Drosophila melanogaster: one gene and its partners. The protein of the gene in region 4 purifies or fractionates together with the protein of the main gene of each other region. This does not show direct contact. Each region holds a gene or a part of one and is shown on either strand. Other genes may lie near its edges. The genes, in order: TAF1B, TAF1C-like, Polr1B and udd.

The links.
Region 1: the proteins of udd (region 4) and TAF1B purify together in Drosophila melanogaster (affinity purification with western blotting; one study listed by BioGRID). This does not show direct contact.
Region 2: the proteins of udd (region 4) and TAF1C-like purify together in Drosophila melanogaster (affinity purification with western blotting; one study listed by BioGRID). This does not show direct contact.
Region 3: the proteins of udd (region 4) and Polr1B purify together in Drosophila melanogaster (affinity purification with western blotting; one study listed by BioGRID). This does not show direct contact.

The regions. Positions count from the first base shown.
Region 1 is NT_033777.3:10,137,717-10,146,803, reverse strand, and holds TAF1B (TATA box-binding protein-associated factor RNA polymerase I subunit B), read left to right. Parts: upstream 1-2,619; 5' UTR 2,620-2,732; coding exon 2,733-3,160; intron 3,161-3,215; coding exon 3,216-3,336; exon of another isoform or gene 3,337-3,449; coding exon of another isoform or gene 3,450-3,574; intron 3,575-3,629; coding exon of another isoform or gene 3,630-3,717; exon of another isoform or gene 3,718-3,734; intron 3,735-3,869; coding exon 3,870-4,310; intron 4,311-4,405; coding exon 4,406-6,034; 3' UTR 6,035-6,701; downstream 6,702-9,087. Other genes in the region: invadolysin, read right to left, coding at 1,272-1,403; CG42759 (uncharacterized protein), read right to left, coding at 3,450-3,574, 3,630-3,717. UniProt on the Drosophila melanogaster protein: Component of RNA polymerase I core factor complex that acts as a GTF2B/TFIIB-like factor and plays a key role in multiple steps during transcription initiation such as pre-initiation complex (PIC) assembly and postpolymerase recruitment events in polymerase I (Pol I) transcription.
Region 2 is NT_033778.4:21,496,622-21,504,557, reverse strand, and holds TAF1C-like (TATA box-binding protein-associated factor RNA polymerase I subunit C-like), read left to right. Parts: upstream 1-2,825; 5' UTR 2,826-2,933; intron 2,934-3,010; 5' UTR 3,011-3,012; coding exon 3,013-5,541; 3' UTR 5,542-5,655; downstream 5,656-7,936. Other genes in the region: CG46395 (uncharacterized protein), read right to left, coding at 5,745-5,927.
Region 3 is NT_033779.5:401,066-409,741, reverse strand, and holds Polr1B (RNA polymerase I subunit B), read right to left. Parts: upstream 5,458-8,676; 5' UTR 5,359-5,457; coding exon 5,269-5,358; intron 5,207-5,268; coding exon 3,707-5,206; intron 3,648-3,706; coding exon 1,848-3,647; 3' UTR 1,773-1,847; downstream 1-1,772. Other genes in the region: AP-2alpha (adaptor protein complex 2, alpha subunit), read left to right, coding at 6-210, 277-354; CG4213 (uncharacterized protein), read left to right, coding at 8,079-8,676. UniProt on the Drosophila melanogaster protein: DNA-dependent RNA polymerase catalyzes the transcription of DNA into RNA using the four ribonucleoside triphosphates as substrates. Second largest core component of RNA polymerase I which synthesizes ribosomal RNA precursors.
Region 4 is NT_033778.4:8,103,385-8,109,566, reverse strand, and holds udd (under-developed), read right to left. Parts: upstream 3,183-6,182; 5' UTR 3,112-3,182; coding exon 2,632-3,111; 3' UTR 2,194-2,631; downstream 1-2,193. Other genes in the region: Cul4 (cullin 4), read left to right, coding at 3,718-4,042, 4,110-4,354, 4,416-4,876, 4,928-5,114, 5,213-5,405, 5,464-5,600, 5,655-6,044, 6,106-6,182.

The DNA of each region.
Region 1 (9,087 bases), on a different chromosome or scaffold from region 4:
CTGGTGAGTTTGAAAATAGGATGCATCCTGCCAATGTTTGCAAAAAGCTTATGTATCTTTTGTGCAAACTACACTATAGTTGCTTTTAGCTGCCACACCATATACAGCTGTGTATTAATTTCGTTCTCCACAAGTGCATATATTTGAAAAGTTATAAAACACCTGGGAAATGCATATTTCCGAGAACATTTTATGTTCGATTATACTGCAGTTGCAACCACGGAGGACAGACTGTACCCGCCTCGATACAGTAATCATGTAAATTTCCCCTTTTTGCGCAATTGAAGGCGACCTTTATTTATGGCGACGCGCCAATTAAATCGCCGTTGATTGGAAAGCAGTAAAGTGCAGGCGAAAAACTTCCAAAGACACAAAAACAAAAGCCCGACGGAATGCAGATCCCGAGCAACAAGTTGGCGGGCAGCGTCTGACATTAAACCCTAACTAGATCACTGGATGTGGATGTCGATGTGGTGCAGATGGAGGCGGTTTGGTAACCACGATGGTGGGTTACACGTTATGAGCTACCTGTTAATATGCAGCCCCACCACCTGACTGACAAACTAAACCACATTGCATTGACTGACTGACTGAATCTCGAATGCGCATATTATTAGCCAGCGGAATTAGTCAATAAGCTGTGGTTGCCACCAACCATCGCTAGATGTTTATTGTTTCAGTTTTTTGCCGCTGTTTCTATGGCAGAATTATGAGAATGGCAATTTCAGGGCTCCTCTTAAATCGGCACTAATTAGGCCTGCCTTTTTCATGCCAAAGCCCAATCAATTATAAATTTTCGACGAGCACAGTTTGCACCAATTATGAAATTTCTCTAATGAGCACGAAGGACAATCTGCCCAAATGGCCGAAGCAGAAACAAACAAGAAACTCGAGCATTGAAATTTCCGAAGTTGCGATTTTCCAGCTGATTTAAACTTTAAGGACTCTTTCTTTTGAAATTACCAAACCATCTTCATACCTTATACTATCTTGTAATCTAGCTATCTAGCATGAAAAATCTTAGCTAGTTGCAAGACTAAAAAAAAAAAGACTAATATTAATGTAGTTGGGATTGTAAATATTTGGCACACGTGTGCGGGTGAGCACTTAAAGATTCCGTGTTCCCAAAATAGCCCTTTCCCGGATATTATTTGTTTTATTTGCAAGAAAGGGCGGAGTAAGAGAAGAAGGCCAATTCAACCCAATACCATAGAGTCCAATCCAATTCAATCCAATCCCTTCATTTTTGGAGCCAAACGAACGCAACTCACCTCGTGGGCCTTTGGATGCTGGTGTTGGCAGTTGTGAGCGGTGGCCGAAACGAGGAGCCAAGAGCAGATGCCGAGGGCTGCCAGGAATTTGGCCATGTTACCGTGGGGGCGGAGCGGGGGCGTTTTGGCCATGGTGTTTTACTTCGGGGTGGAATATCGCCGTGGATATTATAGAGTACTCAGCATTGTAGCGGTGATCCTTTTCATTGTCAGGATTAGTGTGATTTTTGTTTAATTATCACTTGACTTCGAACACCCATATCTGCACTTAAAATTCTTTGTTTATTTTCCTCTTTGGTTTGCTTATGTTTGCTGCTTTTCCGCCGTTTGCTTTGTCAATTAACTCGCGAAAACCGGCTCGATTCGAATCCCTTTCCTCTCACTCGCACACATAAACAACTCGCACACACACGTACATACGCACACACAGAGACACTCAATTATTGGGGCCTTTGGACTACTTTTTGTTTTTGTTTTCGGGTGGGTGTGTCCCAATCTCAGCCCACGCCAAAAAAATGTGCATAAAACTACAGCAAACTACAAACTGCAGTTAGCCGCAAAAGGAGGAACAAACTCGCACTTAAATGTCAAATTCTCATGAACTGTCCGTGCAGCGAGAGCATTCTGTAGGACTCACTGCCATACCCGACACAGTGGGCACTCAATAAGCGCATTCGTCGAGCCTTTTCATTCAGCAAAACCATAAAAACACTCGCGCGAAAAGGGGGCGTTTGGGTACCGGCGGGGGTGGTTGGCACGAACAACAAACTTAGAGAGACGCGAGTCGAATCGTCCGACAACGACGTTAACGTTCGCCAGCCGATTTTGTTTTGAATCGAGTCTCTATACATATGCATAAGTACATGGACACAAGGACAGAGTGGCCATTCAACGAAAACGAAAAACGCGTTCTTATGCTTTTCCGAATCTGGTAACACCTCTTATTAGCGCTAAAAAATTACGTTGCCTATCGATATTTCGAATCGACTTTTTTAAAAATCAAGCGTCAAGACATGGATAATTCAATTCTTACTGCTTATGGTCACACCAAAAAGATAACAGAAATGTTACGAGAGATTAGAGTTCAGTGATGGCTAACGTACAAGTGCATCTAACAGGTTGGCATAAAAAACAATAAAAAATACCCTTTACGCTTATTAGATTTTAATATATACTTTCAAAAAAAAACCGCTCTCTAAATTTTATATAAAAATAAAATTTTATTAAAATACCATGACTAAAAATATGTTACTTTGAACCAACTTTTATTTGCCGCCTTAATCTAGTGATGTACGTTTTCATAGAAGAAACGGACGATATATCGAATCAATCGAAGAACGGATGATATCGTTGTAAACATAGATCATTCCCCACCACTATCACATGCACGATTTGTGTACAACCGCGAGTTTGATTAATAATATAATTTAAATCTGATACCGTCAAGAGAAAGTCCCAAAAATGGAGGAAGTTCTCGAGACGATGCAGCTGGAGAACATGCACTGCGATGTGTGCGAGGGTACCACCTTCCAGGAGCGCGAGGGATTCTACTACTGCGTAGAGTGTGGCACACAGAAGGATCAGATTCGTGCAGTGGACATTACCGCCGAGGATAACTTTGATGACACGGCAGCAGGCCGATATACAGCCAGGACGATCCGACAGAAGAAGGATACGGAGAAGGAGGATGAGGACGATATCACCTCGTGGGAATTCTACAACTACGTGCTGCGCGGCTTCCTCCAGGAGCTGCTCAACATGGGCGCCAAGCCGGAGCTCAAACTGATGACCCTGCAAGTGTGGGCGGCTTACTTGGACAGCATGGAGGTGGCCTTCAGCAAGAGCAACAAGACGGGACTGCCTAAACTGAATGTGCGGGCGCTGCCCATGTGGGTTCTTGCATTCTCCTAAAATTTCTTATTTTTAAATTCCGAATTCTTTCAGAGATGCCCGCATCATCTACAACCATAAGACATTCAAGAAAGGCAAAAAGGGCAAGAAGAGCACTCTAACGGGTGACCCAAATGACGAGCGCGCCAAGTTCAGATTGTGGAACAGAACTAAGGTAGTTTATTAGCCGCTGGTAGTCGGTATAAAGGGCAAGAAGAGCACTCTAACGGGTGACCCAAATGACGAGCGCGCCAAGTTCAGATTGTGGAACAGAACTAAGGTAGTTTATTAGCCGCTGGTAGTCGGTATATAGAATTGGTTAGGAAACAGCAGGGGCAGCAGCAGGAAAAGGGTCCGTTGGTAGTCATTATACATGGGTTTTGCTGTATTTATCTCCTGTACTGGATTAGAATCTGTGGCGAATATGTTGGATGAACAATAAGCGTTAGGATTAGTTTATCTAATTACTTTCAGTGACTTCTGGAGCTCCGGGAACAGGTTGTCCGTAGGCCAATGCCAGGATGGCCACGCCAATTAGAACCAGACGCATGGACATATTTGCAACGACACACTTTACCAAATTGCTGCTGACTTGAACACGTTCGTCTTTTATAGCTCCACAAGCTATATAAATGACATAGTTAGCCTATTCATTAGTGATGTTTACTCAGATGCGACTGTAACACCTTGATCCCATTCCTTTTGCAGCGCAATCTAGACGCCTCCGGCTACCGCTCGCACGGAGGAGCTTCAGAGTCCGAAGGGGAGCAGAGTCTCCACCTGCAATGGTCAATGCGTGCACGCAAGTCCTTGAAGCGCCATATGCCGCTGAAGCACCTGGACAAGCATAGCCGCGACAGCAAGGGTAGTATGTCGTGCCACAGCTTGAGACCGAGGGTCAAGCAGCTCCACAATTTTGATCGTAACATCTACTGCCTGAATATTATCAAGTTGTATGTGGTGCTGGGCATAGCCCTTAATATGGTGGAGGATGATATACAGCTATCGGACTTGCTGCGCTTCATTGATGAGGAGCACTTGACCAAGCGGTGCATGCTTAACTATCTGCCCGGAAATGTGGCGGCCAAGGGCAAGGCACTGCTCAAAGATATGGAGCTCAGCAAAATGAAAGACAAGGTTACCAACAAGGTGACTATAATCCATCATTTTCTAACGATAGAAAAATAGAAATATCTATTAATAAAAAGGAACACAACTAATAATTATCTTTATATTCTCCACAGCTTCTGCGTGTAAACATCGCGTGTATGTCACGATTCATAAACTTGTCTGAATATCAAAAACCGAACCTGCACTCCCTAGCGGAGCGATATATTCTGGAGTTGGCACTGCCACCTCGGCTACTGAAGTACGTGAATAGCCTGCTTGACCTGCATCCGCCCACTTTTTTTAACGCCATGACCGTACATCCGTATCCGCGCTATGAGGCCAGGACTATGGCCTACATCCTCTACGCCATGAAGTTGCTCTTCGGCTTGGACGATCTCAAGGAGCGGAATATATCTGAATCGGCCGCTAAAATCAATGAAAAACTGCTGGAAGTCGGCGGAGATGAGGCTCCCTTGCTTTTTGTTTTTACCGAGTGGATGGAGTTTGTGGAGATGAGGAAAGTGATTGTCTCACATTACAACCAAAGTTTTGCCCGTCGCTTCGGGGTATCCACCCGGACTGGTTGTCAGGTGGACGACATACTGGCAAAGGAGTGGAAAGAGAAGGAGCAAGGCGAAACCTTTGGCTGGATGCAGGGATCTGCGGCAATGAAGCGTCAGCATGAAAACCTGACACACATTATTGAAACCATGCTGAAGGACCATTTTGGCGAGTCCAGCAAAGAAAGTATGGAGAAGGAACACATTGAATTCCAGCCCAGCTTGACTCCGGCTCACTCCTACTTCAACAGAATCCTACTCCAAGTATCGCGGTCTGATGGTGCAAAAATGAAAATCACAATTCCTGACCACATGAAAGTGGATCACTCGGCCCGCAACCTGGATCCCTTTGTGCTGGAAACGACCGAGCTGTCGCAGTATTTGTCCCAACATGGCCTTAAACTACGAGTAGAGGAGCTTGCCTGCCAGGAGGACATCCAAAACGTGGGCATATTCCGCCCACTAACAATAATCCGAGGTGACGGTCGAGAATACCGCGCCAACACTGAAATTAAAACCGAGACGTGGATAAGCGAGCTAAAGCGTAAGGAGAAACGGCCGGACTTTCGGTTCACACAGCCCACTGGAACCTATGGAGCCCGATATTTGAAACGTATAACAATGCGCGACGCAAGGCGTGTGCAACTTGAGATAAATAATCCGTTTTGGGATGTTACCGAAACGCCCAGCTTTCTTCTCAAACTCAACGATAACGAGATACCACTTGACAGCCTTAGCTCACTGCAAACCTTCGAGGAAGGGACCATGGATCCATTAAACATCCCTCTAGATCTGCCCCGTCGCAATCTGGAAAAAATTTTGAATCCGGAAGGTTCTGATAGAGCATCAGACCAAGTAGCGAGCGATATCAATGATGAGCCGCCAAGCCCTGAGACGCTGTTATTGCAAGTGTCAAATTTTGATTGCTGGCTTCTACACGGCTATATGAAAAGAATTCGGAGGCATGACAAGCATGAACTGCGTCAGTTGTTCCCCTGTTCCTTCCGTTGGCTCTTGGAGACGTGTGCCAGCACAATAGGCATAGTCTGGGAGGAGCTCTACGAGGAACTGCTCATTGTGGAAGTGATGTACCATCACAGCATCAGGGACTGGAGCAATCATAGGAACTATCTGTGTATTCAACACAATACTCAAGAGAAGGACATCCGAACCCTCGCCAGGACGTACAAGGAGTTATGGTAGTATATTAGAAGTATTAAAAGTTTTGAATTAACAAACAACGATGCCATCTGTATAAAATATAATATTCTTCTACGTAGTGCTCTACCTCAAATGATAGATTTTCTTTTTGTGTATATAACCTGTAGAAATCTTTCAACAGTGATTATGATGCAAATAAATCTGTGTGTTAAGCAGTTACCAAAGTACAAACATGACACACCCACTACGTCAATAGCTTAAGTTCAGGAATTTATGATTTACACACTTATCGAAAGTGATCAATTCATTTAACAAAAATATTCGTTGTCTACCCATACGTTTTCCTATGCCCAAATGTTAAATTTGCATCCATTTTAGATTGAAACGATCTATGTATTAAGGGGCAGTGTTATCTCCTTGGCCGCGACTGTGTGAGCAAAGGCACATTAACATCAATATCAATAGGCAAATTAGCGTTTATCAGAACAACAACAATCACATTAGCAGCAACAATGCGTGTCGCGGTTTTGTTTACAAAAATCTTCTTCAAAAGAGAGCGCCAGGCCCCACGGTCATCACCAACTGGAGAGAGCAAAAAAAGAGCGTGAGAGTACTTGGGGAAACAGAGGAGCTCACTTGGCTTGTTTTTGAACAGTTCTACTTATAAAGTAATTATACCAAATAAACAACAAAATAAAATAAATAAACCAAAAAAAATCACTTACATATATAACAATTTAAAGGGTGTTCAATTGTGATAGTTTATATTTGCTTTAAGTTTAACGTTGTCAACGCTCTCATAGGAGCGATTTCCTTTTAATGTCTTACTAGCTTTGTTTCATATAAAGCAGTTATCTCTGATGATCCTACTTCAAAAATCCGGCGAAAGAGGTGATAAGAATTATCTTATGCTTTTTTTCGATATTCTTGTGATCTTACCTATATTTATAGCTATATCTAGCTAGAAAAGAGGCCACCTCCGCTTGGGAGCAGTGAGAGTGGGTAAAGAAATCATAGGCGCGCATTCGCACGGCGCGTTTCAGTGCTAATTTTAACGTCGTCGCTGACTGTTTCGCCTTATTGCCCTGCTGCGGTTTGAGTTTCCCTATTTTCCACTTTTCCACTGGCCGCGAGCACTGAGTTCGAATTCAATTTAAATTAGTTCCCATTGTGCCTTTGTACGCCTCTTTGCCCGTCCAGCGCAGTGTGATAACCAGAAACCAAAGTGCCTGTGCCCAAGAAGTGCAGTGGAATCGGATGTGTGGACAGGAATTTTAACCGTTGCAGCGCGCGACTTGAAGAGAACCGATCTGAAAGTGATGAAAGTGTGGAGGCCACAGAAATAGGAACCAAAAATAAATTCAAAATCAGAGTTTAAAAATAGCCGAGTGCATGGCAAATTATGAGATATCTAAAGACTGTCAATTAAAATAGCACTGTTGTGTCTGTGATTTGTTGGATATCTGTTGTTTTAGAAGTCTGCTGGTGAGTTGGTTTTTCGGTTTTTGAAAATGTTTTCATATTAATATGCGCGCGTGTGGTTACCATTCAAATGCTACGATTATGGAAAGACAGCTGTTTCAATACCGCCGAAAGTATAGTGGTGCTTCCATTTCTCAAGAGTTTAGCTGCCTAGCTGTTACGTCAACCTTTTGCGGGGGGTCGGGGGCTTATGCTTTACCATAGCATTTGATTCTCTAGTTTCTGTAGGCTGAGCCACCCCCCCCCCCTCATCCTCCTCTTCCTCCTCCCACCGCTATAATACCGACCGATCTGGCTGACGTTCTTGGCGGTTTTTGAGGTTAACAACATTTTCAGGCCGCTTTGTTTCGCTGTGAGCCAAACAATAAACAACTATTGACTCGCACTGGCCATGTTTAGCGAGCCGACTTACAAACAATTAATAGCTACTATTTTGTCACTTGCTGACTTTTATGCCAAAATATTTGCCTAAGCTGTTCGCATTAGCAAATCGAACAAATTGCTCAAAGCGAAAAAAAAATAAGAAAACAACCATATAGCACGCGCATTTATCTTGATTTCGATTCCATGTGACTAAATCATTATTTGTGGGCTTACAATTTGTTTTCCCAACTGAAGTTTGCCTTAGCCAATTGGGTCCTGTTTTTGCGGATTCTTTGTTGGTACAGTGGTCTACCCCAGTAGTGGACTAAAGATCAAAAATGTAGTTATTTTTATTAACCTATTCGATTTGATAATCAACACAGCCATACTTTGTTTACTTGTTAATACAAAGGTGGTAACAAAATGAAGTCCATAGGGTCAAGAGCAGGTTTTAATGATAGATAAAACAGCGCCTGGTTCTATAGCAATTTACCTACAACCCCAAGTGTATACTTATTTCATGGAGTAATTTACAGAATATCAACAAGTTTTCATGTGATATTGCACTCAAAATTTCTGGAAATTTCATCAGTGAAGCGTTTGCTTTTGTACAAACTAACGCCCACTGTATATGAGGAATATAATATGAGATTGGTGTTTGTCAAATGCTAATTAGTTTCATTATATCTGCCAGCCACGAGTGCAGTGGGGTGGAGTTCGGGGGCCGTGAAGTGTATTAATTGGATGAGCCGAAACAGTTTGATAAGCACAATATTGCTTGCCACGGATCTGGTCGGACATATGGTAGTAATCACGTCTGTCCGTCGAAATGTTTATCAATACCACCCTCTTACCTCCCCAAAAAGATACAAAAAGTAAGGCACTCTGCTGCCGCCAATGGATGTCAAACTGAAAAGACACTTTGATGGACATATTATGGACAGTTCGGCAAGCGGGAGCATATGAAATTCTAAATATAAACAATGCCAGGTATAACTGTGCACACCCCCACCCCCCCCTCCTTCAAACCATCTTCCACCCCCTTTCATTAAAGGAAAATTAGGAAAAGCAGGCGAGAAGGGTTGACAGATCCGAAAATAATCAAGGCAGCAAAGATTCGGCGGCAGACGAATGGCGTCTACCTGGCTGGACTTTGGATGATGAGTGTGCCAGGGATTGGGGAAGGGGAATTGGGATTGGGATCGGGATCCAAATGAGTCTCGTGCGGCACGTGGTTAGGTGGCTCTAAA
Region 2 (7,936 bases), about 13 Mb from region 4:
ATTTTAAAGGAAGTCTGCTGTAGTTACATACATAATTCATTGTTAAATTATCATTTAATACGTTTAATGGCTCTTGTTTTTTGTAAGATCTTTCAGTGTTCGATTTCCTTGGAAGGTGGCTAACAACAAGTTCTCTGCTGCCCCTAAAAATACTTGCTCAACTATTGTATTGACTGCAATTTGTCCGAGTCCTTCAAGGATATCGCCTCCGATGTGGGAGGGGGTACAAATTTGCAAAACAGAAATTATTCAAATGTTCTTTGGGGGGCGGAGAGACAAGATACCCCATCGGTAGGGGGCGTGGCAGGGGTTCTGGGGCACCGACAACGGCAGCAAATCACATACAGGAAATGTCACGCTATGTCAAGCCGCAGGCCAGCAGGAAAAAAAATCGTACAGCCGAAACGAACCAAATCACACGCTCAACGTCAGAGCGTGTTGTTGCAGGATATGGGAGAATATCAGTTGGGTAGGTGGGAGGCTAGGGGCGTGGCACGGTGGGGCAATGAGGGGCGGCGCAGGTTGCCCTACTGTTACGTGTTTGCAATCGATTTGAAAGTTACATAAAAACAGAGCCGCAGCAGACCAAGGGCAGAAAAGGGAGAAGGTGCCAGGGAAGTTGGTAAACACCTGAGTGGCCAACAAGAGCGTCAACAACAACAACAACAAGAACAACAACAGGAGCAGCAACAAGGCGCCAAAAGCAATTTGTGCGGCGAACTTTTTATTGTGTTTGCCTTCTGAGTAAACTGACCTACGCATTAAACATGCAGGAAAGTTAAACATCAGATATAGATACGTATACATACATGTATGTACTGGACTCAGATACTCAGGAGGACGAGACGAAATCCTGTCCATGGCGATGGCGCCGACAGGTTACAGTAGAGCCGTTAAAGTGGAGTCCTCACCCATTCATTTCCACACCCAAAAACCGCTAGAAGCAATAAAATTTCACAAAACAGCGAATAACAAATGTCTGCAGGAACAGTAAACACTGCCAATAGGTAAACCAATTAGGGCAACTATTAGAGATAACAGTCAAGTCGCTTTTAATGAACAACCCCATTATTCCATTTCGCTTTTCCTTTGTTTAGTTAGGAAAATTGGTCGACTATTGTCTAGAAAATCAACTCGAAGTTGATTTGAGGTTTTTTTGCGAATTGCCTAGATCGTCAAATTTCTTATTTAACTTAATTGCAATTCAGAATATGGAAAAAAGGTGTAGGAATCAAGGAAACCTACTAATTTAGAATCCCAGGACAACATGCAACCGCACTTTTTTTTACTGGCATAACTTGGTTTTCAGCACACAGGCTTCACTGTGGCAGCTGCTGAAATGATTGCGGCGAAGTTTTCTGGAGGTCGTTTAGAGTGGAAAAGCGCCAGCTCCGAGAGAGGGAGAGCGATAAAGAGGAAGAGAGACGGAATGGAGCGAAGGGGAGGGCAGCAGGGGTCCATTACGTCAGAGCCAGAAGCCATTTGGGTTTTGTCAAAAATTAGCAGTTAGGAAAAGCGAGGAAAACCCAAACGAAACCAAAGCCAAACATACACAAAAAAAAAACGAATAACGAATAAAAACGAACATCATAAATGGATGAATTAGTACAGATATGGCGAGCAACAAGAACAACAACGACAAAAACGTGCATACAACAACTAACTGTTAACTAAGTAAAAAGAAGAGTGCGCAAAATATACAATAGTGCTAATTGAAAAACAGATACTGGGATGCAAATGAAAAGTTTTAGATGAGGCAGTGTGTTTTCTTTTCTTTTTAATGGGGGCGAGCGCAGAGAGAGAGAGACAGGATAAGACAGAGAGAGAGAGAGAGAGAGAGAGAGGGAAGAGTAATAGATAACTGCAACAAAACAAATGCAAGCGGAGCGAGAGGGAGGGGAGTAGGATTAGAACTGGTTAATGTTATCTTCCAGACCCGCCCCTCTCTTTCACACCTTTCCAATTGGCATTTGTTTTGTTGTCTGTTTGGCACTTGTATGTATGTTAATTGTGCCCGTTGTGTGCGGTAGTGTAGGTGTGAGTGCAGGTGTGTGCGTGGTTGGATTTAAAAAACTCACCTGACGCTTTCCGTTGCTTTTTCTTCTATTCTTTTGTAGGCCTCAAAATTGAGATAAAAACTACTACCGCTTTTTACCAACGCCTTCTTTTTGGCTAACAAAAAGAGACCGTTGTTTTAACTGCACTGTCTATGAAAAAATCAATATTCGGTCTCGACCAACTTTTTTCTTCACCTTTTCTTTTACAACTTGTGTAATTTCTGTGCTCGTTCTGTTTCATTCACTTATTCTCTCGCTCTCGCGCGCACGCACACACACACACACGCCCGCTGTTCGCGATTGCCAGTAATTTTCGGGGATCAATTTCTTGTAATTTCTCCAGCTGCTTTCAAGTCTTTAATTCTCGGTCTCGATGCAGCGCAAAGCAAATTTGATAGTGATGGGGAGAAACATCGATGCATCGGGAATCGATGTTTTCATATAGGTGCTATCGAGCTAGCCGATATTTTAGAAATAGTATCGCCGACCAGCGATACATCGTCGCTTATCAAAACATCGGATTCTTAAATATTTTTGACTTAAAAATGTAAATGTTACTTATTATTGGTGTCTAAAACCTTTACATTTCTTTAAAAAGGTATTTTACGATGCTTTTTTTTTCAATGTTACATTTTTGCACTTCCAATGTAATGTAATAGATAATCCAAAACCTATATTATTTTAATATATTGTGAATATTTTGCTTGTAATGCTCATAACAGCAAGCATGCGGTTGGGTAGACATAAATACCCATCACTAATCAGCTGTTTCTTGCGTCCAGAGGAAACGTCGTGCGTTTGGCGTTTGATTGAGTCAAATTCAATTTGTTAACTAAATTCTTTCGTGCAGAACTGGATAGCTGATCGAAGAAATCCGTAAGCCAGGCTCACATGCATCAAAACACATCGGCCAGCTAGCAAAATCCGATTTCTTATTTATACTCCAATTACAGACATGCCGCGACGCTATCAAACAGCTCTCAATTCGGCCAAATACAGTGCCCAGGTCAAGACCAAAACTAGTGACAACGAATCCGATTCCGAAGATGATCTTCCGCCGGATCAAGATGCTGAGGATAACAATGAGCCAGATAATCTGCGCAGCATTTTGGAAAATGCGCCGCACTTCTCTTATCCCGGCTTGAACACTGGAATGTTGGGCCAACTCTTGTACGATCATCAGGATAATCCGAAGCAGGACTTGCCAAATTGCTCGGTTACGGTGCCGCTACCCCTCTTCCTGGCAAAGGATGGACAAACTCCCCGAGTGGAGGCATGCGTCCAAAGGCCATTCCGCTACGACGATTGGACACGGCAATTGCAATTAGGCAAGGCTATATTTGATAGGCGACTTAAAAATATGAGACAGCGTGTACAGAAGCAGGAGCAAGGTGTACACGATGCCAGTCTGTTTGAGATGGCTGAGCACATAGCCCAACAGGAGAATTCCTTCTTCAGGGACAGCTACGATTACTACTACACAGGCGGAAACCTAAACACGATTCCGTTTGATGGAAACGATCAGCTGGCCATGCATGTCAGCGGTAATAAGCTCAGAGATTTGCACTTTTCCCGAGATTATGGTGAGGCGGAGTTTTGGCAACCATTGCATTCGGCTACGATAGAGGAATCCTCCAGCGAAGTCTTTGAACTTCTTCCGCTCCACAATTTAAATCGCAGTCAAATGTTCCTGGCACGGTTGCTGAAGGAGGTTTCCCTATACGAACTTAAATGCAAAGACGAACAGGATTCGGATTCAGATTACGAACTCATTCGCCATTGCATGTTTAGCAGTCAAGTAGCTCCTTTTACAAGCGCTGCACAATCATTGGCCAATGCCAATACATTGGCCTTAGCTAGCCAGGATAGGTCTTTGCGCTTCGTGGATATTTCGACACAACAGGATATAGCCAAGCTTGATGTTTGCTTGCTAAAAGGACTGAAGAAAACCTCGAGTACCTGGGCACAGTTAAAGCAAGCAGAGGAAAGCACCTTTCACTGCCTAACACAGCCAGTTTTGTTTACCGTAGATGTGCGATGCAATCTGCCTCTGAATCCCTGCTTTGCCAGCGGCGTTCACTCAAAAGCTTGCGAGAGGTTCTCTTGTTTGGCCAAGGGTGTGAATCCTAATCTCTTGTATGTGGCTAGTAATCACAACTTCCACTGTTTGGATATCAGATGCTTGGGTAAAAAGCTGACCGATCGAGCTGTCGTCACCTGGACGCATCAGATGACCTATCCACCCTGTTTTATTGACACAAGCGTTCACCAGGACAGTGAATATATTGCGTTAGGTGGACTCTTACCCAAAGATTTGCGAATTTGTGAACTGCAAGGAGCTCAGGCAAAAAGTGTCGATGAAATGTTCTCGCCGGCAATACCATTTGCGCCGGTAACCCTGGAAGAAGCTTTAATAGATGCTCGCTTGGGAGGATTTGTGGATGTCTATGCTGATATAGCAGAGCGGGTAACGACCTGCATTACAGGAATGCGCTTTATTGGCTTAGAGGGGGCCAGTGATCAAGCTTTTACCCAGTTGCTAACCTCCAACAGCTTGGGAGATGTTTACTGCCAAAGACTAACGCTTAGGGATGAAGAGGAGCATGTCCAGCAGATCAGAACCGGAACTCATACAACGGAAGCCATTCGCTACCTTGCCAATGCCGTTAATGAGCGCGTCCAACGCGAGAACATCCGCTGCACACAAGTCCAGTCGATACCAGAGATAAGAGACATCTTTCGAGATGGTGCCAAAAGATCAAAACCTGAAGAAAAACCTTTAATCGTAGAGGAAATCGAAATTGACTATGGCATAGAAGATACTGATGTTTCAGAAGATGAAAGCCCAGCCTCTGAAAAGGTAAAGGAAGAACCTTCGGAATCCAAGAAAGGTGGTAAGAAAACGCCTAAGAAAAAAACCAAGGTGAAACCAAAACGGCAACCCAAAAGGAAAGCTGCCAGTAAGAGAAATGTTAAAAAGCAGAAGAGCATCAGTCGCGGTCCCTGGCAGAAATCCGCTTACAAGCTGTCCCACTACACGGACATGATGTCGACCCGTTTGCTGGACGTGTGGGATATGGAGGAGTACGACACCACACGAGACGTAACAAGAGAAATGTTCGATGAGCGTATAAAGGGGAAGGAGCTGGAACCTGAACAACGCATGGCCAATTGGTTGGAACAATTGCCCAGTCAGACAGTGGTACCCACTGAGGACGAGGTGACCGAGGGAAATCCCGACATGGTTCCCGGTACAAGTCTACCAAAGCTATATGGCGCCACTACAGCGAACTATTCAGTCATTCCAGCCCTTAATTCCGATCAGGACATCGGAGAGCGCCTTTTGAGTCCCAAAAAGGAATCGCCTGTTGAATTTGGCCGCGAGTATTCTATCTTGCTGCCCGGCCAGAATACTATCATCGAGGACTATCCCTGTGCCCCGCCAGCTAAGAGGCCCAAGGTTAAACACGTAAAGGGTTTCTAGCTTAAGTTAGAGTTGTTAACCTTAATTTAAATTTAACAAAAATAAATAGCAGATTATAAAGTATATTAAATAGAAGTAAGTAGATTTAGAATTTAGATTTCTGCCAACAATATTAAATGTTTTTTATTTTTTATTCGATTGCAATAATTTGAATAACACAACACACACTTCACATTAGCCCATCCCGAAAACTTTATTGCTTGTTATACTTGCCATTTTCGATTGATGTCACTGGTTGAGGATGTATCTCCACCAAGATCGGGTTCGTAGGCTGGATTCACGATTCCCTCGATGGGCTCGACCACAAAACGATCATTCCTGCGTTTGAGGGCGTATCCCACAGATCGTTTTGCCATTTTGGGCTTATCTTGATCGCCGTGCAGCATTATATTTCGCCCTTTTTTTTCCAACACGCCACACGACCGTTTAGAGAGTGCCTCAGATTTCGACTGATTTTCAATTAATTTGGGCAGTTTGCATTTAATTGATTGATTCGATCTATCTATCGCTCGTCGGCGCTCAGTGGGGCGTAAACGAGCCAAGGGTGACAATTCCATAGGAGTGGCCATAGATAGAATATATGCTTAGTTTAGTTTAAGCTAAGCTCGGTTGAGCTGAGCATCCAAAGCTTTTAGTTGGAAAAGATTATCTTGAACTAAATGCAGCGAACTATTGAATGCTATTGACGGGAACATTGGCATATTCACAGATACAATGCTGAAGCTCAGCTCCAAAAATTTATTGGGAATTAAAAAATTTTTAAATTGATTTTGACAACATATGTGCACACTTAATATTAATCGTTTTCATTATATCGTATCGTATTAATCTACCAGTGTACAAAATTATCAAGCACGGTTTAAAAATAAACTGTAATAAATTAAATTAGAGTATGAAAACAAAAGAAAATGTCACATAATTTTGCCGAATTTAATTCGCCAATCATTAAATTAACTCTTTATCAGGCTCCACCCACAAATAAAATAAAAGAGGCGCCTGCGCACTAGAAAAAGTAGGCGAGGCATAATGTTGCTTAAACTTTGATGCCAGCAACATGTAGACTACGGCATATTCTTTGGAAACTCCTTTTAGTTAAACTTGAGCAATTGCTTGAATAGGTTGTGTGTCCTTCGTGTTCCATATATTTTTCGTTTTTGTTACATTTTTCAAAACGATTATTAGCTTAATAAAAAATGAATAACTTTTTGGAATACATTTCGGTATTACATTGTTCCTGTAAGTTCTGATTAATCATAAATTTAAAGTTAAATTTTAAAAAATTAATCTTACATATTAACTAATTTATTTGGGATAAGGAACACCTTTGATTGTGTCTTAACCTAAGTCCGCCTGATCCGCTCCTGAACAAGTTTCTGCTTGATTACGTGGACAAGTGCTCTCTCTTATTCTGCCCCCCGTATTGTGGATCGCGTTCCCACAGTATGTGAATCTCTTTTGGCTCTACAAAAACACGATCTTTCACTCTCTCTCGTACTCTTACACGTGTGGATGGTGGTGGATCACGATCCCCCGCCTCCTCCCGCTCACACTTTCCGGGTCTCTCTGAAGATTTCCACTCTTTTTATATAGGGGTGCACCCAAAAAAAAGATAGGGAATATAATGAAAAAAACATTGAAATACAAAAAAAACTATAATCTTATGAAAAACTTGGAGGAATGCAATATATATAAATAAGATTTTAAACTAAACTACAAAATAATCTGGTCTAACTTGCAAAGTGCCACAAAAATGTTTCTGAGTGTAGAAGTAGCGGTTAGTAAAACAACGTCGGCGGCTTCGGTTCCAGCATTTCTCGCCCGCACTTCGATCGAATCGGACGTGTTTGCACTTCACATCCGCCGTTTGCTCGCGTGTTTTCTGTTGTTCGCCCGCCGCATCCGCCCCCGCCCCTTCGCCGGAATCGAGTGATATCCGTCTGTGGAAGACCAAAGGTATATTACAGATATCAGATCGTAAATCGTGTGCTTGGCTTAGCGTAAACATCTTGGAAATGTGCTCATTAAGAAATGAAAATCGAGAAATCGAAAGAAAGCGTGTACTTTGCCATTGCTGTCGTGTCTCTTCCATTCATATTCAGTCCACGCCATCACACATGCATACACAAATAAATATATATACACACACATACGCCCCAAGAAAACCGAATGATGGAGGAGGAGAAAGAGAGCTTATCGCTACAAGTCCATGAAAATAAAAATAAAAAAATATCGCCGGTCATTTGCTCTTGCTTTTGTTGCTAAAGATCGGCTCGGGTCAGCAATTAGCATTTCTGATTCGAAATAAGAGGAAAACTCCTGACGTGTCGCTTAGGAAAAGATTTTCCGAAACATTTAGCGCCGGTCTGTAAATTGGATCGCTTACGGTAAACTTCGT
Region 3 (8,676 bases), on a different chromosome or scaffold from region 4:
TGTAGTGAACAACAACGGTCACAGAAAGTGTTCAAGGCTGCACAGCCACTGGATTTGCCCGGAGCCCGCAACAAGCTTATGGGCTTTGGAATGCAACTGCTGGACCAAGTGGATCCCAATCCAGACAACATGGTCTGCGCGGGCATCATTCATACGCAATCGCAACAGGTGGGCTGCCTTATGCGATTGGAGCCGAACAAGCAGGCTCAGGTGAGTAATTTATTGTTAGATACTTGGAACATAATGCCTATTGCCTATTTCTCAAATTATCAATAGATGTTCCGACTGACAGTTCGGGCAAGCAAGGAGACCGTAACTCGGGAAATCTGCGATCTGTTGACGGATCAATTCTAAGCCACAACAATCATGGACGGGGTGATGGAGACGGAGCTGCGAAGCCATGGAGCAACGGCAACCACTTTACAATGCACAATCCCAATTACCTAGAGAAATATCAAAGCATACAAGGCCCTAGAACTGTACGCGTTTAGTTATGCCAGGCACACTCCTACACTCTTCTTAAGTACCTTTCATCTTCTCCAACAGCGAGTTGATTTACCCACTGTCCTGTTTATTTGAATATTATGTTTGTAAACCTACTCTTACTTTAACCATTTTCAATTTCATGTTCCCAAACTTTTTTGTAAATGTTAAGCTCAAAAAGTTCATAGTAGAGAAACGAGAGAACATAATTAGATTATGTTTATATGTATGACAAATTATATATTGTTGCATCATTTCGAGGCAGTAGCAATTGGATATTATATACCTATATACAGATCTACATACATTCATACAAACCACATACATATACCTAGTATATACGTCGTTGTAATAAAAACAGAAATCAATATAAAACAAAAGAGAAAAGCTTGCAAGGGAATTATTAAGATGCCTGCAAATGACAAGTATGCAAATCGTTATCTAAATATTTATACATATATTGATTATTGCAATTGCATCTAAACGAAATTCATGTTTAATGTTTTTGATTGTAAAATCCAATGGAGGACCGCAAGAGCAGAAATCTCATTAAATAATAGACAAATAATTAGACAGATCCACAAAATCTCCTTGATTAATCACTGTTGAGCAACTTAAAATTTATTAACGATAGGAAAAATTTCCCTATTGAAGAAAACGAAGCAAAAATTTCAGAATATTATTATACTTATAGCAGAATTTTTTGAATGATTCTGGGTAATATTACGTTTCGTTTGTGTACCATAGATAAACTGAGAGGGGCTACTTCATGTTGTGCCGCTTCCTGAAGAGAAAGCGATCTTTGTAGCACCAAGTATTAACTAATCTGAAGCAGCAGCAGCAGTAGCCGCCAGCCATAAATCTGCTAATGACTCTCTTCAAATGCGAGACGGCTGCCGATAAAGAACAAAGAATTGTAAACTAAAATATACACTATATAGATACTGATACTGAAAACCGATAATGGAAACTGACATCAAATACTTATTACCATTAAACTCTCGATCCTTTCGTAAAAACCAATGTGCATGACAGCTGGAAATTTAGGCATTTCCAAAGTGCAATAGTTAAATGTTACAAAATTCCACACAAATTCCATTTAACACTCACAGACAAAACAAAAGCAACTGCAAGAGCAAGAAAACCAAGCCACAACTACATATAGCAAGTGCAGGAATTTAACTGTAAACGTAAACCAATATGTATTTAAATAAATATAAATTGAAACCATTTGAAAGGTGTTTAAAACGTTTCCACGATCTGGATATAAACACTTGGCAAGCACAGTTGTATTTTACGTATTTATCTTTATTACGATTAGCGCACGGGTTAACATAGGACCTAACAATAATTTTAGATTTAAATCAAATTTCATTTAACTTAAATCTCGCATTAATGTTGACCGAACTCAATTCGGTAACCAGATACTTAAAAGAGAATGGTATCTCGATCATCGATACAGAACTGTTATCCCCGCACAAGCGACACGTATCTGGCTGAGAAGAGAGTCCTCCCGTCTCATTTCGCTTAACAATGCGTTGCAGAGGCGCCAGAATGGAGCCGCACTTGTGGCACACCAGGGTGTGCGTCTTATCGGAGTTGTGGAACAAGCGATCCTGCAGCAGGAAAGCAGCACCGTGAGAGATCAAAGCATCCCGTTCCATCTCACCGAATCTGACGCCTCCACCGCGTTTTCTGCCCTTAATTGGCTGATGGGTCCGAGCTTCCACCGCTCCCGTAGATCTTACTTGCCACTTGTCAAACACCATGTGCCGAAGACGCTGGTAATGCACCACTCCAAAAAATATGTCAGCAGTCATCTCGCGGCCATCTACGCCGGAATACAGCCTCTCCGTTCCGTAGTAATTGTAACCCCCAGCCTCTAACATTTTGCCAAAATAGTCAATAGCAGTATTCTCTTCGGAGAAGCGAAAAGGCGTGGCATCGTAAACATTTCCGTGGATTGCAGCCCCCTTTCCCGCCATCGTTTCTATCATCATGGCGATTGTCATTCGGGAGGGGAAGCCGTGGGGATTGAACACAATGTCTGGAATCAAACCAGATTCCGTAAATGGCAAGTCCTCTGCAGGATATTTTTGTGAGCAAATTCCTTTCTGACCAGCTCTTGATGCAAACTTGTCTCCAATAGTGGCAGGTCGTGGAACCCTCAGTGTGATGGCCACCATTTTTTTTGGCGACAAATCGAAGCTTCCCAACTGTCGGATGCTCTCTACTATGCAATCCTCCTTTTCATCCATTTTCACAACTTTATAAGTGGCGACCTCTCCGTCAAAGTAACAGTACAGGGGCGAACCATAGCTCAATTTGGAGCCCGGATGTGGAAGACCATCCGTGTCAAGATGCTTTATTAACTCCGGCATGTGTGGATGCCTTGCGAAGTAACTGCTCTTCTTGTCCAACGTCAAAAACTTTGTTTTGTAGATACTTCCATAGGCGAATCCTCGTTCATAAGCAGCCTTGTTGATGATCATAGCATCTTCCATGTCGTAGCCCGTGTAGGAAATGACAGCTACAATAGCATTTGTGCCCATTGCAAAGTCATCCAGCTGGATGTTGTCGTAGTGTACTGGTCGGAAGAGAGGAGTCCCTGGCGTCTGAAGGCGGTATAACTTGTTGGCCGCTTGCTTAGGCCAATTCAAGCATGGCGTTCCCATCGTCTGTTTTCCCATCTGACACTGGTACATGTTACGTGGCGATTGATTGTAGTCCGGCATGGGTATCAAGTTGGCCAAGTTGCTCATGAAGTGGGTCTTAGCCAACTCCAAATGAGTGGTGAAGTCAGGATACATTTCCTTTGCATCGATGGCGATCTCCATATAAAGCTGTTCCAGTGTTCCGATGTACTCCACCCTTTTCCACTTTAGGTTCCAAACGGGCCTCATCATCCTGGCAGGACCCGTTGCAATGTAAAGCCCTGGAAACTGACCGTTCTTCTTGAAGGGTATAAAGCCGATTTCCATCATCTGGGGAAGGGTGCCGAATATCTTCCCGTAGCGCAATTCGTCAACTATTTTTTCGGCTTCTGATTGATGAATGTGACCCAAGTGTTTGCCATCTAGGAAGACGACGTAAAGTTTTTCGCCCAAATATCTTCGGTTTGACAAGGGCATCATGCCCATATCTATAAGATGCTTGGGAATGGCCTGAAAAAAAAAGTAATCGGTTAAAATTTCTAATAAAGTCTACCATTAGCTGTACCCACCTTCACCAACTTGGGATCGGGACGCATCGAAATCTCGCAAGTTAGAGTCAAATGATTTAACAGTCCGCACGGTGTGCCATCAGGAGTGTGCACTGGACAAATAAAACCCCAGGCATCCGGGAGCAGCTGCCGCGCCTCAGTGGTTCTCATCGTTGTAAAATAGGAACCACGGTGGATGGCGCGAAAGTGGGACATGTAACGCATCCTGTTAATGTTCTCCGCCATAATGACTAATCCGCTATTTTGCATTAATCCCAGGCCAGTGCGACTCGCAATATTTCCAGTTGCTAAAAACGACTCTATGGCCCGGCCAACTCCTCCTGCTTGTCGCATGCACTGCGTCATCACAGCACTGGTAACTAGGGCATCAGGTGAAGTCAGTTTTTTTTGAAGGCAACGTCGGACTTGCGAGACCCAGGATTCGACTCGCTCACTTAGGTATTTCTGATAGAGATGGCCTGGCAGAAGCACTTCCTGCATCATAGCTGAGTCGACGTTCTCCACTTTGTACTTGCCCTGTGCGCATTGGAAAAGCTTCTGAATCATAAACACAATCAACTGGAACTTATCCTCATAGGTATCCAGGTGAATCATTACTCGCTCCCTAAGAATAAAGTCTGTGACATCATCATCCGGTTGCCATTCCGGAACTTCTGGGAAGCGGGCACGGAACAGATTGCCAATGAAGCTCTTGCACTGGGCGTGCGTATAGACGTTTTCATTTTGAACTTCCCTCAACATGGCTTGCACGCAGGACACATAGTACTGGTCGGACTCGTAGCCTTGCACCAATCTGTTGTATATTTCCTCATCTGTATAATCCATTAGGCACTTGAGGATCAGGCAAACTGGTACGTATGATAGTCTCTTGACGTGAGAAAACATAAACTTTGCAGTTCCATTGTTTAAATAATGTACTACATTGCTCAGGGATGATTCGTCCTCACGGACCGTTTGCACTAACATACCCAAATCGCTAAAATTCTGTCCACGATCCTTCCAGGATGAACGTTTTACACATATGGGATGGTTCCTCCGGGTCATGATCAACATACGTACAATCTTCTCATTTCCTCGGATCACAAAAATGCCCCCCCACTCGCTGTCGTGCTCTCCATGTTTTACCATTTCTTCCGGAGTAGCCTGTCCCAGATTGCAGGCTTTGGAGCGCAACATGATGGGCACTTCTCCTAGGTCCATGTTTATGGGAGTCTTTTGCACTCCATTGACACTCCACCCCAATCGGACCGAGCACATTCCCGAGTAGGAGACATGGAGCTGCCTGGAGTCCGTGGGGTAAATCTCTCGGGTGCGCACATCAATCACATCTTGCGGCACCTTTGGCTTCGCTATCCATATTGATTCTACTTTCATTGAAATCTTTTCGCCGGCAGGACTCAGCCAGTGGTTCGGGATCATGTGTTTGGCCGAGTTATCCAGTCCCACGGTCAGCATCTCGTCGAAGGAATCCACATGTGGACCTCCCAAATTGGCCAAATGCTAGCCATAGAAGTAAATCTATTAGCACGAAACCTTGCTATAGGTACAAGATTGATATTTACCCTGCTGAGTTTTTTAGGTATCTGCTTAAACTCCGGGCGGGAATTGGTCAGCACTGGAATGGTCTTCATTTGTTGCATCTCCTCCAGCATGTTGTAAGTATTATTCTTTCAGAATGCCGACCAAAAATATTAAGAAACCTATTGCCTTCCTTCGCACGTGTTGTTTGGAATCGAACCGTTTTGAATGCGAACCAGTCAGTGGTGAGGCAGTCGCAAAGAACTAGTTCATATATTATATTGTTCATATAACTGAATGAAATAAGAATATAGATGATTGGGATAAAAATTTTCGGTAAATAAAGAACCATCACTAAAAATTTGTATTCAGATTAATAGAACACACTAAAATAACCTTAAAGTTCGGTGAATTGTCGTATGGTTCCGATTCGTGTTCAGCTCATCTTTAAATAACTGGGCTGCCAACCGAATGCAAGGAACAGCTGATATGTGCGCGCTTGATAAGCCTGATAACCCAATTTTGAATTGTATCCAAGTTGTATAAAAGCAAATATAATTTATTTGCAACGTCTGACATATTGTGCACATACGGCAATAACCATTTAGCATTTGCAAAGGCATCCGGTATGTAGAACACAACTCCTGCGGAAATGAGACTTTGCAACAGGATGTGCCAACGTGTTGCTCTGGCAATGAAGTTGTTGCATTGTTGTGAGCCACATAGGTGGCGTATGTATGCACATATGTATGTATGTGCATATTAATCTGAAGCACCCTCCCCAAAATACGCCATCTAAAGCTTCTAAGAAGCAGTTTTGTCGAATACTTGGGCTTAAACCCCACTGACTGGCACATTAATGTCTAATGACTGCGAGAATATGAAAATTTTACTAACATTATATTTCGTCTTAAGATAGGTGTTAATCAAGGCTGATGCCAGATTTCTTAATTTTTCTTGTATTGGAATTGCCAAATTACTTTGTTGGGTTTTAACGTGAAAACATGAAGTGGTTGTGGGAACATCAAGAAAATATCATCAATTTGAGATGGTTCAGGGGCTAATGGAAAAGGAAAGAACCCCAATCTGAACGCAGTCACTCCGGTTTATTATTCCATTATAATGAACACAATGGATTTCTTGCAACTTATTTTGGGCAGAGCGTCCTTGATGCCTGGTTCTTGTATCCTTGCTACTTTCAACTTTCGCTGCACATTTGCCTGTGTGCAATCTCTGCAAAAGCTGAGGGCGTTCCTGGGGCCCAACTTTTGCCTGGCGCTTCAAGTTTTTAGCAGAATTTTTTCCCTTTTGAGTCGCTACAAACAACAGAGAAACCTAGAACTAAGGGGCAGAGCGAGGCGCCATGGCAAATTGCATTGTTGATTTTCATTTTCAAGCCTGGCGACACTTTGCCAAATGTGTGCGCCATCCTTCCTTCCTACCCCGGAAAACCCTTCACCGTCCTTGGTTTGGAATCGTTGCTGCGTGTTTCCCACTTTTCAAATGCGCGCACTGGGGGAAAAAAACAGGAAGTTGGCGTGGCCAGTGCAAAAATCAGCTAGCAAATGGATTTTCATTTGAAACTTTCGCGCGAAAGATTTTCATTGAGTTCGGGGGTGCGCGGGATACCCTATGCCACTATCACAAATTGGTTAATAAAGGTCCAGAGATTTATTCTCTTTAACGAAGTGATAATGGTCAACGAATGTGGGTCAGACAGGGGTGCGCTAAGAAAAGTTTGTGATCGTGTATGAATTGAAAAATGAATAGGATTGTGCTGTATTTAACCTTGAACATGTGTTCATACTCACCCAGAGTTTTTACCTAATACCAAAACTGAGAGTAATGCTAATTCTTTTGTATGCTTTTTATATGTAATTAAAGTTCCTGATGTTAGGAAACATCGTCTTCAAAACAGTGCAGATCATTCACCTAGTAAGTGTTGCGGATCTTTCTCTTTCAGCTCTTGACAACTGGTCTTGATCTTCATTTCTTGACAGGCGATGTGGCAAGAGTTTTGTTTTGTTTTACCCCTTACTCATAATTAAAATGACGCTTGTGTATAATTTTAGACGGATTCATCTGACACGTTCTTCTAATTAAAATGTGCATAAAACTAAAAAGAACAATTAAGAATGTGAAGGGAAGAGTCCTAAGAAGACTCTCAGACATCTTGCCAAACCCTCAACATAACAAGAATCTCTAATGCTCGAAAACAAAGCATTTTATGTTGGGAGTGCCGCCGAGAGAAGCCAAATTCGTTTGAAAGCAGGAGAGATCGTAGTGGGTTAAAAATAGCAGAATCTATTCAATGTTTTCTCAGTTTTTCCCGAGCTGGCTAACCGAAAAGTTGCGTTCGACCGTCGAACGGATAGAAATTAGAACCCGAAAATTTTCCAACGTCACGTATACATATAGAAGTTTATCATATGTATACTAGATATTTAGTTTAGTTACGTTTCTCCTTTTCCGTATCTTTCGAAGTTCAATGTGCAAGTGAAGAATATTTAATGGAAATCGGGACATTATTTTTTCTCGAACATCCTTGGTTGAAAAGTGAAAGTCAATAGATAATTGCGAAATCTGCAAACTCGTGTGTGATCGTCGCACACAAATATAGACACCGATTTTTGTTGGTATTTTCCCCTGCTGGTATTGGTGCCATATCAATTGGTGGCGATCTGTAGATCGGTGGATCTTGGGCTTTCTTTGTGCCGACAAAGAGTTCTTCTCTAGAAGAAAAGTCGCATTAAAGCGAATCGTAAATTTAACGCTCGCCAGGCGAATCTGCATTGGTAAACAGATCATCACAACCGCATACCACAGCTCGTTCGTCTTTGTTCTGTTGGTAAAGATGGGAAATGCCGAGTCCACACAGTCTGCGGATGATACGCAAATGCAGATGCAGCAGTCCACTGATGACGAGCCCTGGTGGAACAACATCGAGCACGAGGATCTCATTCTGGAACAGGCCCCCCGAGCCACAACCCAAAAAGAAGCTGAGGAGGTACTTCCCGAAAATAGAGTGAAATATCGTGAGAATAAAGTTGCAATTGAAATGGAGGACAAAGGAAATGAGACCCATCAACGAGAACAGACCCTCGAAGAGTTCAGAGAAGAGCTTCGTCAGAAAAAAGAGGTTCGCCAAAATGCTGTGCAGGGCCTGAGGGATGAAATTGCTAGTCTTAAAGAACAATTGGCCATAGAAAAATCTGAGAATCAACGTCTTAGAAAAGTTACGGCTACAGACGGTCAAGCCGATAATCAGCACGACCATTCGAATAGTCCCAGTAAGCCTGATGCAGATCCAGATGATGAGAATCCCAGTTCCAGGAGCCGCCATGCCAATATCGAACTGGCCAATGCTCAGTTGGCTTTGCAGCAGGCACAGGCCGAGAATTTGTCATTGCGTGGAGAAGTGGAAGTGGTTCAACGCCAGGTAGGAACCCTGA
Region 4 (6,182 bases):
AAGCCTTTTAACTTAAAAGTTTCCTCCTGATTTAGGTGATCTAATCGAAACTGTGAAAAATCTAATTTTTTTATTGATTCCTGATCTGAGCTTGCAATTGATTCTGGTGTCCTTTGGATATACAAATTTTGGTTTCTTTCGGATTCTGAAGTAATTAATTTGTATGTTTGATCAAAAAGGGTAACTGTATCATTTTTGTAATTAATAACTGATTGAGCATTTTTCAACAATTTTCTGCCAATTAGCATATCGTAATTATTAGAAAATCTGTGCACATAAAATGGTTCGGTTTTTTTGAAAATACTATTTCTGGGTAACATAATCAAGTCGTTCAAGGTAATAGGGCCATTTGATGTTAAAACTTCACATCTACTATTTTGAATGGGAAGACAAAATATATTTTCATTGATCATATTAATTGTTGATCCTGTGTCTAGAAGGCATTTGTATGAGCGCCCTTTGTATACTATTTTTATGTATTCGTATTTTCCGGGGCTGTTAACCGAAAATTTTCGTTTAGTTCAGAATTATTTTGGTTTTGTTTGTTATTAATTTGTACAGATTGGACTTGTTGTTGCCCTTCATTAATGAAGCTATGATTTTGATACGGATTGTATTGATTTTGGTTAAAATACTGTTGCTCGTAATAATTAGGTTGGACTTGTTCGAATTCATGCGCGTCTTGGAATCTAATTTCGTCAATAGACATTTTAGTTTGTTCACTGTCCGATGGTCTTAGTCGTTTAGTAATCGGGAAGTTAGTATTTTTATATGTAGAGGGTTGTTGTAGTCGAGGGTATGTATTTCCTCTAAAATGCGTTGTTTGGGGAAATTGGGCTTTGTTGGGATATTGTTGGAAATGATTTTTTTGAATAATGGGTTGTGGGTTTATGTATTGGTTGGGTCTGAAATAATTAGGTGCGTGCCACATGGGTGGGTTGTTAGTTATCTGCTGTGTATAGCTAGGTCTAAATGGTTGAATGTATTGATTAAAATTAGGTTGGAAGGGTTGGGAATATTGTGAGTAACTTGGTCGATTTTGAGTTTGAACATTTGTATTGAATTTTTGTGTTTTCGAATTCTGGTTAGAATTTGAATTTTTATTACGATATTCTGGTTTTTCATAAAATTCAAAATTAATGTGTTCTTCATAAATTCCCTCATTTTGTGCAATGGTAATTAAGGATCTTAAGTCTGTAATATCGTGATGGGCTAAAATAGTGAATAATTGTATTGGTAGTTTCCTTATCAGTATCTTAATAGATTCTTTAATACCCTGAATATAAATAAGAAAATCCGATTGGTTACCTTCCAGGTGTAGTTTCGAAATTAGTAATTGACGTCGTCTCTCCGCTTCTTCGCAGAATGCTCTTAGGCTTCCTCTGTATGGTGTCTCCCTGAAGTTCTCCAGAAGTTTGTAGTTTGGTGTTTGAATTTTAAATTCCGCGATGAGTCTTGCTTTAAGGGTAGGCCAATCTTCGATGTTCGGAAGTCCCAAAGATCGTGTAATTTGTCCGTCCAAGTTCCTTTCGATGGCTCCCAGTAGAATCCTCTGTTGTCGGACATCATTTGTTTGGTAGAGCGAAATTACGTAATCCACTCTGCTGATAAAGGTGTGAAGGGTTTCTGGATCACCCTTGAATGGCATAATGTCTTTAAGCTGCCGACGGGCTTCGGCAAGGTTTATGTCGCTCAGCGCAATAATTGGTTGTGACATTTTTATTGTAAAATTTTTAACTTTTGTGTTTTATTTTTTTGTTTTGTTTCGGATTCAATGTTATTATTATTTTTAAGCTTTCTAGTTTCACTTGTTTGTTTTTTTTTGTTTTGTAAATTTTTGTGTTGTATTATTAAAATTCTATATTGTTTTAATTTTTTATTTTTATATGTTGGTTTTAAAACTTAGTTGCCTTTGGACTTAATATTTTTGTTTCGTATTTCACTTCCACTTATTATTGGATAACCGAATTGGAATTATAATCCAAGTTGAAGAGTTTTCACGAATTTATTTTGGGAGATGTTTCGAGCACTGGACTATAAAATTTAACTTATTTTCCACTCGAAGGTTCTTTTTTTTTCGGATACTTTTGTATCCTACCGACTGCGCCAGTAAAATTGTTGTTTTATTTATGAGTCGAACTAATGTCCCGTCAGTTGACTAAGGACAACGCCAAGAAATAAAAAATAGTTTTTAGGAGAAATAGTTTCACGACTTTATTCTTTGGATCTCAGCTTAAGACTAAAAATCAAATGCAAATTGGATTGAGGAGAAGCCTCAGTATTTGAACAATATTTGTATTTCGGGAGAGCCTCGCTCTTGGGTTCTTAAGATTAGGTAGCGTTGAAAGAGGGCAGTCAAATCTGCTTAGGTCAGGCTTTAGGATGTTTACAAGAACGGCTGCGCTGCCAAAGATAAACGAATGCTGCGCAGCTGGGATACGTTATGGAAAATTACTAGAGTGCATTACTGATTTCTTTGAAATAATGGAAGTGGCTGGTTTGGACCACCCAAATACGTCACTATATATTAGTGGGATGGACGCAGTTTTAATAGGCAATTTAATATGCGTTTTTTTATGAGGTAGTTATATTATATTTCTTGCCTAACTTCGTCGTTATTAAAAAAGGTAACTAGGATAGAATAGCATTTAATGAATCGTCTAATGCTATGTCTTCATCTGTGGGTCTCGTCGGAGGAGTCGGCTCCACTCGCAACTGCTCCATTTTCGTGTAGAACTTTGGGCACTTTTGAAGAACCTTGGAGTATTCCGTGAATATTTGAAAGGACGCCCTTTGGAGCAGCGTTTCTCCCATATGATTGGAGGCCAGTATTTTTGCCAAGTTCTTGTAGTCCCGCTGCATAAGGCAATCCCGGGCCAGTCGTAGTTTCTCGTACGCAGTGGATCGTCGAACGCTGAAGTAAAACTCGTTACTGGCCGGAGGAGCACAGGATGGGTTTTGGTTCACCCAAAAGCCATCTTCGGGACTGGTGGCGATCTCAAGCGTGCGTTTCAAAACATTTGCGGGTATCCTTCTGGCTGGAAAATTCTCACCCTTTATTTTACGCGGTGCAGTTTTCAAAGGCGATGGCTTCTCATCTTTTGTTTTCATTTTATATGGCGAAAGCGAACATAAATGCGTCGCGAACACAATGCGTCGTGCTAACAGTGATAGGCAATGTTAACCTGTTTCACACCAATATCGATAGGCAGTGCTGCCCGCTGAGCTATCGATTACCCGCAGCCAATCGATGTTTTGATTCGTCCGATATCCCAAAAAGCAATATTTTCCGCATGCAACCAAAAGCGAAATAATAAAATGTTGCCTGTGTAATTGTACTTCCGAAGTTTTGTCGATTTGAATAGTCTCTCAGGCGTCGAAGGAACCCCATTTGTCCAAAAGGACGCCGTTTGTCGGAGAAATCTACTTCGCAGCCGGAAAATTCACAGGAAGTCTATTTGCCTTGAGTTCGCAAGTTGCCAATTTCTTGACGACCCCAGTGCAAAAGTCGCAAAAATATTACGAATATTTGCTGGTAATCATTTCAAGGGTACGTATCGAAATACAAACTGCAATCCCTTCCCTTAAAGGAAAAGCCAGCAATCAATAACCGATCTCCACGCCCAGGACTAAGCAAAGCCGGTGCGACGAAAGCAGGGCAGGATCAGGAGAGCAGGAGCGGAGTGGAGATCCTGCTGGCAGCAGGGGCCCTAAGCTATGAGTGCGGCCAAGAAGTACAAGCCCATGGACACAACTGAGCTGCACGAGAACACAGAGAATATTGCCGCCTGCCTGAAGAAGGCCGAGAACGTCGCCCCCACCGCTGCTGCCGCCTCGAGCGTGGGCCGCAGTGCCTTCGCTGCCCAAAACATGAATTCTGCGTCCACCAACGGCGAGCGCCTGCCAAACTTCTCCAAGCTAGGCGGCAGCCATGGCGAGATCCGCACGGCTTCAACTACCTCAAATCTCCTCAATCGCATGGGGGCTATTCACAACAGCAAGCCTGGCGATGTCAAGAAGATAGTGATTAAGAACTTTAAGGGTAGGTCCCGTCTAGATCTCAACTGTTTGTATACTGCATGATTCAACTTCCTTCCTTCCTTCCTTAGATAAGCCTACACTGCCCGATAACTATTCCAAGGACACGTACGTGAAGCTTGAAGAAGCCGTTATCGCCATCCAACTCTCCAAGCCCATTAAATATTCGCTGGAGGAGCTCTACCAGGCGGTGGTGAACATGTGTAGCCACAAGATGGATGCACAATTATACGCGAAACTCAAGGAGCTAACAGAGCAACACGTAAAGCGCAATATTAAGCTCAAGGAGCTCACCGGCGGTAGCATGGACAAACTGGTAAGTTGCTGTTTAAGGAGCACATTTAAAGGTTTACTCGTCAACTTTTATTGTCTTTTAGATTTTGCTGGAAAAGATCAACCACTGGTGGCTCTCGTTCTGCCAACAAATGATCATGATTCGCAGCATATTCTTGTATATGGATCGAACTTATGTGCTGCAAAATTCGACCGTTCACTCGATTTGGGACATGGGGCTGGACCTTTTTCGCATCCATTTTGCTCAAAACAGCGTTGTCCAAAAGCGAACCGTCGACGGTTTACTAACGCTTATTGAAAAAGAACGACAAGGCTCCACCGTGGACCGTGGTTTGCTGAAGAGCTTGGTTCGCATGTTATGCGACCTGCAGATCTACACCAGCTCCTTTGAGGAGAAGTTCCTCGACGCAACCAATCAATTGTATAAGGCTGAGAGTCAACGCAAGATGCAAGAACTGGAAGTTCCCGAGTACTTACAACACGTCAACAAGCGTTTGGCCGAGGAGAACGAGCGTTTGCGTCACTATCTGGACTCGAGCACCAAGTATGCTGGCGAAGTCAATAATAAAAACAATTATTAATGCGTTTTTTACAGACATCCACTGATTTACAATGTGGAAAAAGAGTTACTTGCCGAACACCTAACGTCAATATTGCAGAAGGGCTTGGATTCATTGTTGGAAGACAACAGACTGAGTGACCTTACACTGTTGTACGGGCTGCTTAGTCGAGTCAAAAATGGAACATCCGAGCTGTGCGGCAATTTCAACGGTTTCATTAAGGTATGGATATGTTAAGTAGTATAAATTTATTTAAAGATACCTTTGTTTTAACTGCAGTAAAACATATTAATAGATCGCGCTAATATACTTACTTTCAGAAAAAGGGACGCACCATTGTCATCGATCCCGAGAAGGATAAGAGCATGGTCCAAGATTTGCTCGATTTCAAGGACAAAATGGATGTGATAGTTCGCACCTGCTTTGAGCACAATGAGAAATTCACAAACTCGTTGCGCGAGGCCTTTGAGTTCTTTATCAACCAACGTGCCAACAAGCCGGCCGAGCTTATTGGTAAGCGCCCACTGTCACTATATTTAAACGAGTTTGCTAAAGTTTATTCTTCCATTAGCTAAATACGTAGATATGAAACTGCGATCTGGCAACAAGGGAACCACAGATGAGGAGTTGGAAAAGACTCTAGATAAAATCATGGTTCTGTTTCGTTTTATACATGGCAAAGATGTATTTGAAGCGTTTTACAAAAAGGTTGTGTCCATCTATTGTATGTCGAGCATTATTTAATAACGAATACCATCTTAGGACTTGGCCAAACGATTACTTGTGGGCAAATCGGCATCAGTGGATTCCGAAAAGAGTATGCTCTCCAAGCTTAAGCAGGAGTGCGGTGGAGGGTTTACGTCCAAGCTGGAGGGCATGTTTAAGGACATGGAACTGAGCCGAGATATCAACATTGCGTTCCGCGGACACGCGTTAAGCAACAACCGCGATGTCCACAACTTGGACTTGTGCGTCAGCATTCTTACCATGGGCTACTGGCCTACATATGCACCTACAGAGGTCACAATGCCGCCACAGTTCATCAATCCTCAGCAGATTTTCAACAAATTTTATCTGGAAAAGCATAGTGGGCGGAAGTTGCAGTGGCAGCCTACATTAGGAAATTGTATGCTGCGTGCTCAATTCGATGCGGTAACTACTAATGGCTCCTACTATGTTCTATGCGATTGCAATGTTTACGTATGTTTCACAGGGACCGAAAGAATTGTTGGTCTCGCTGTTTCAAGCGCTTGTGCTTCTATTGTTTAACGATAAGCCAGTTCTGAGCTA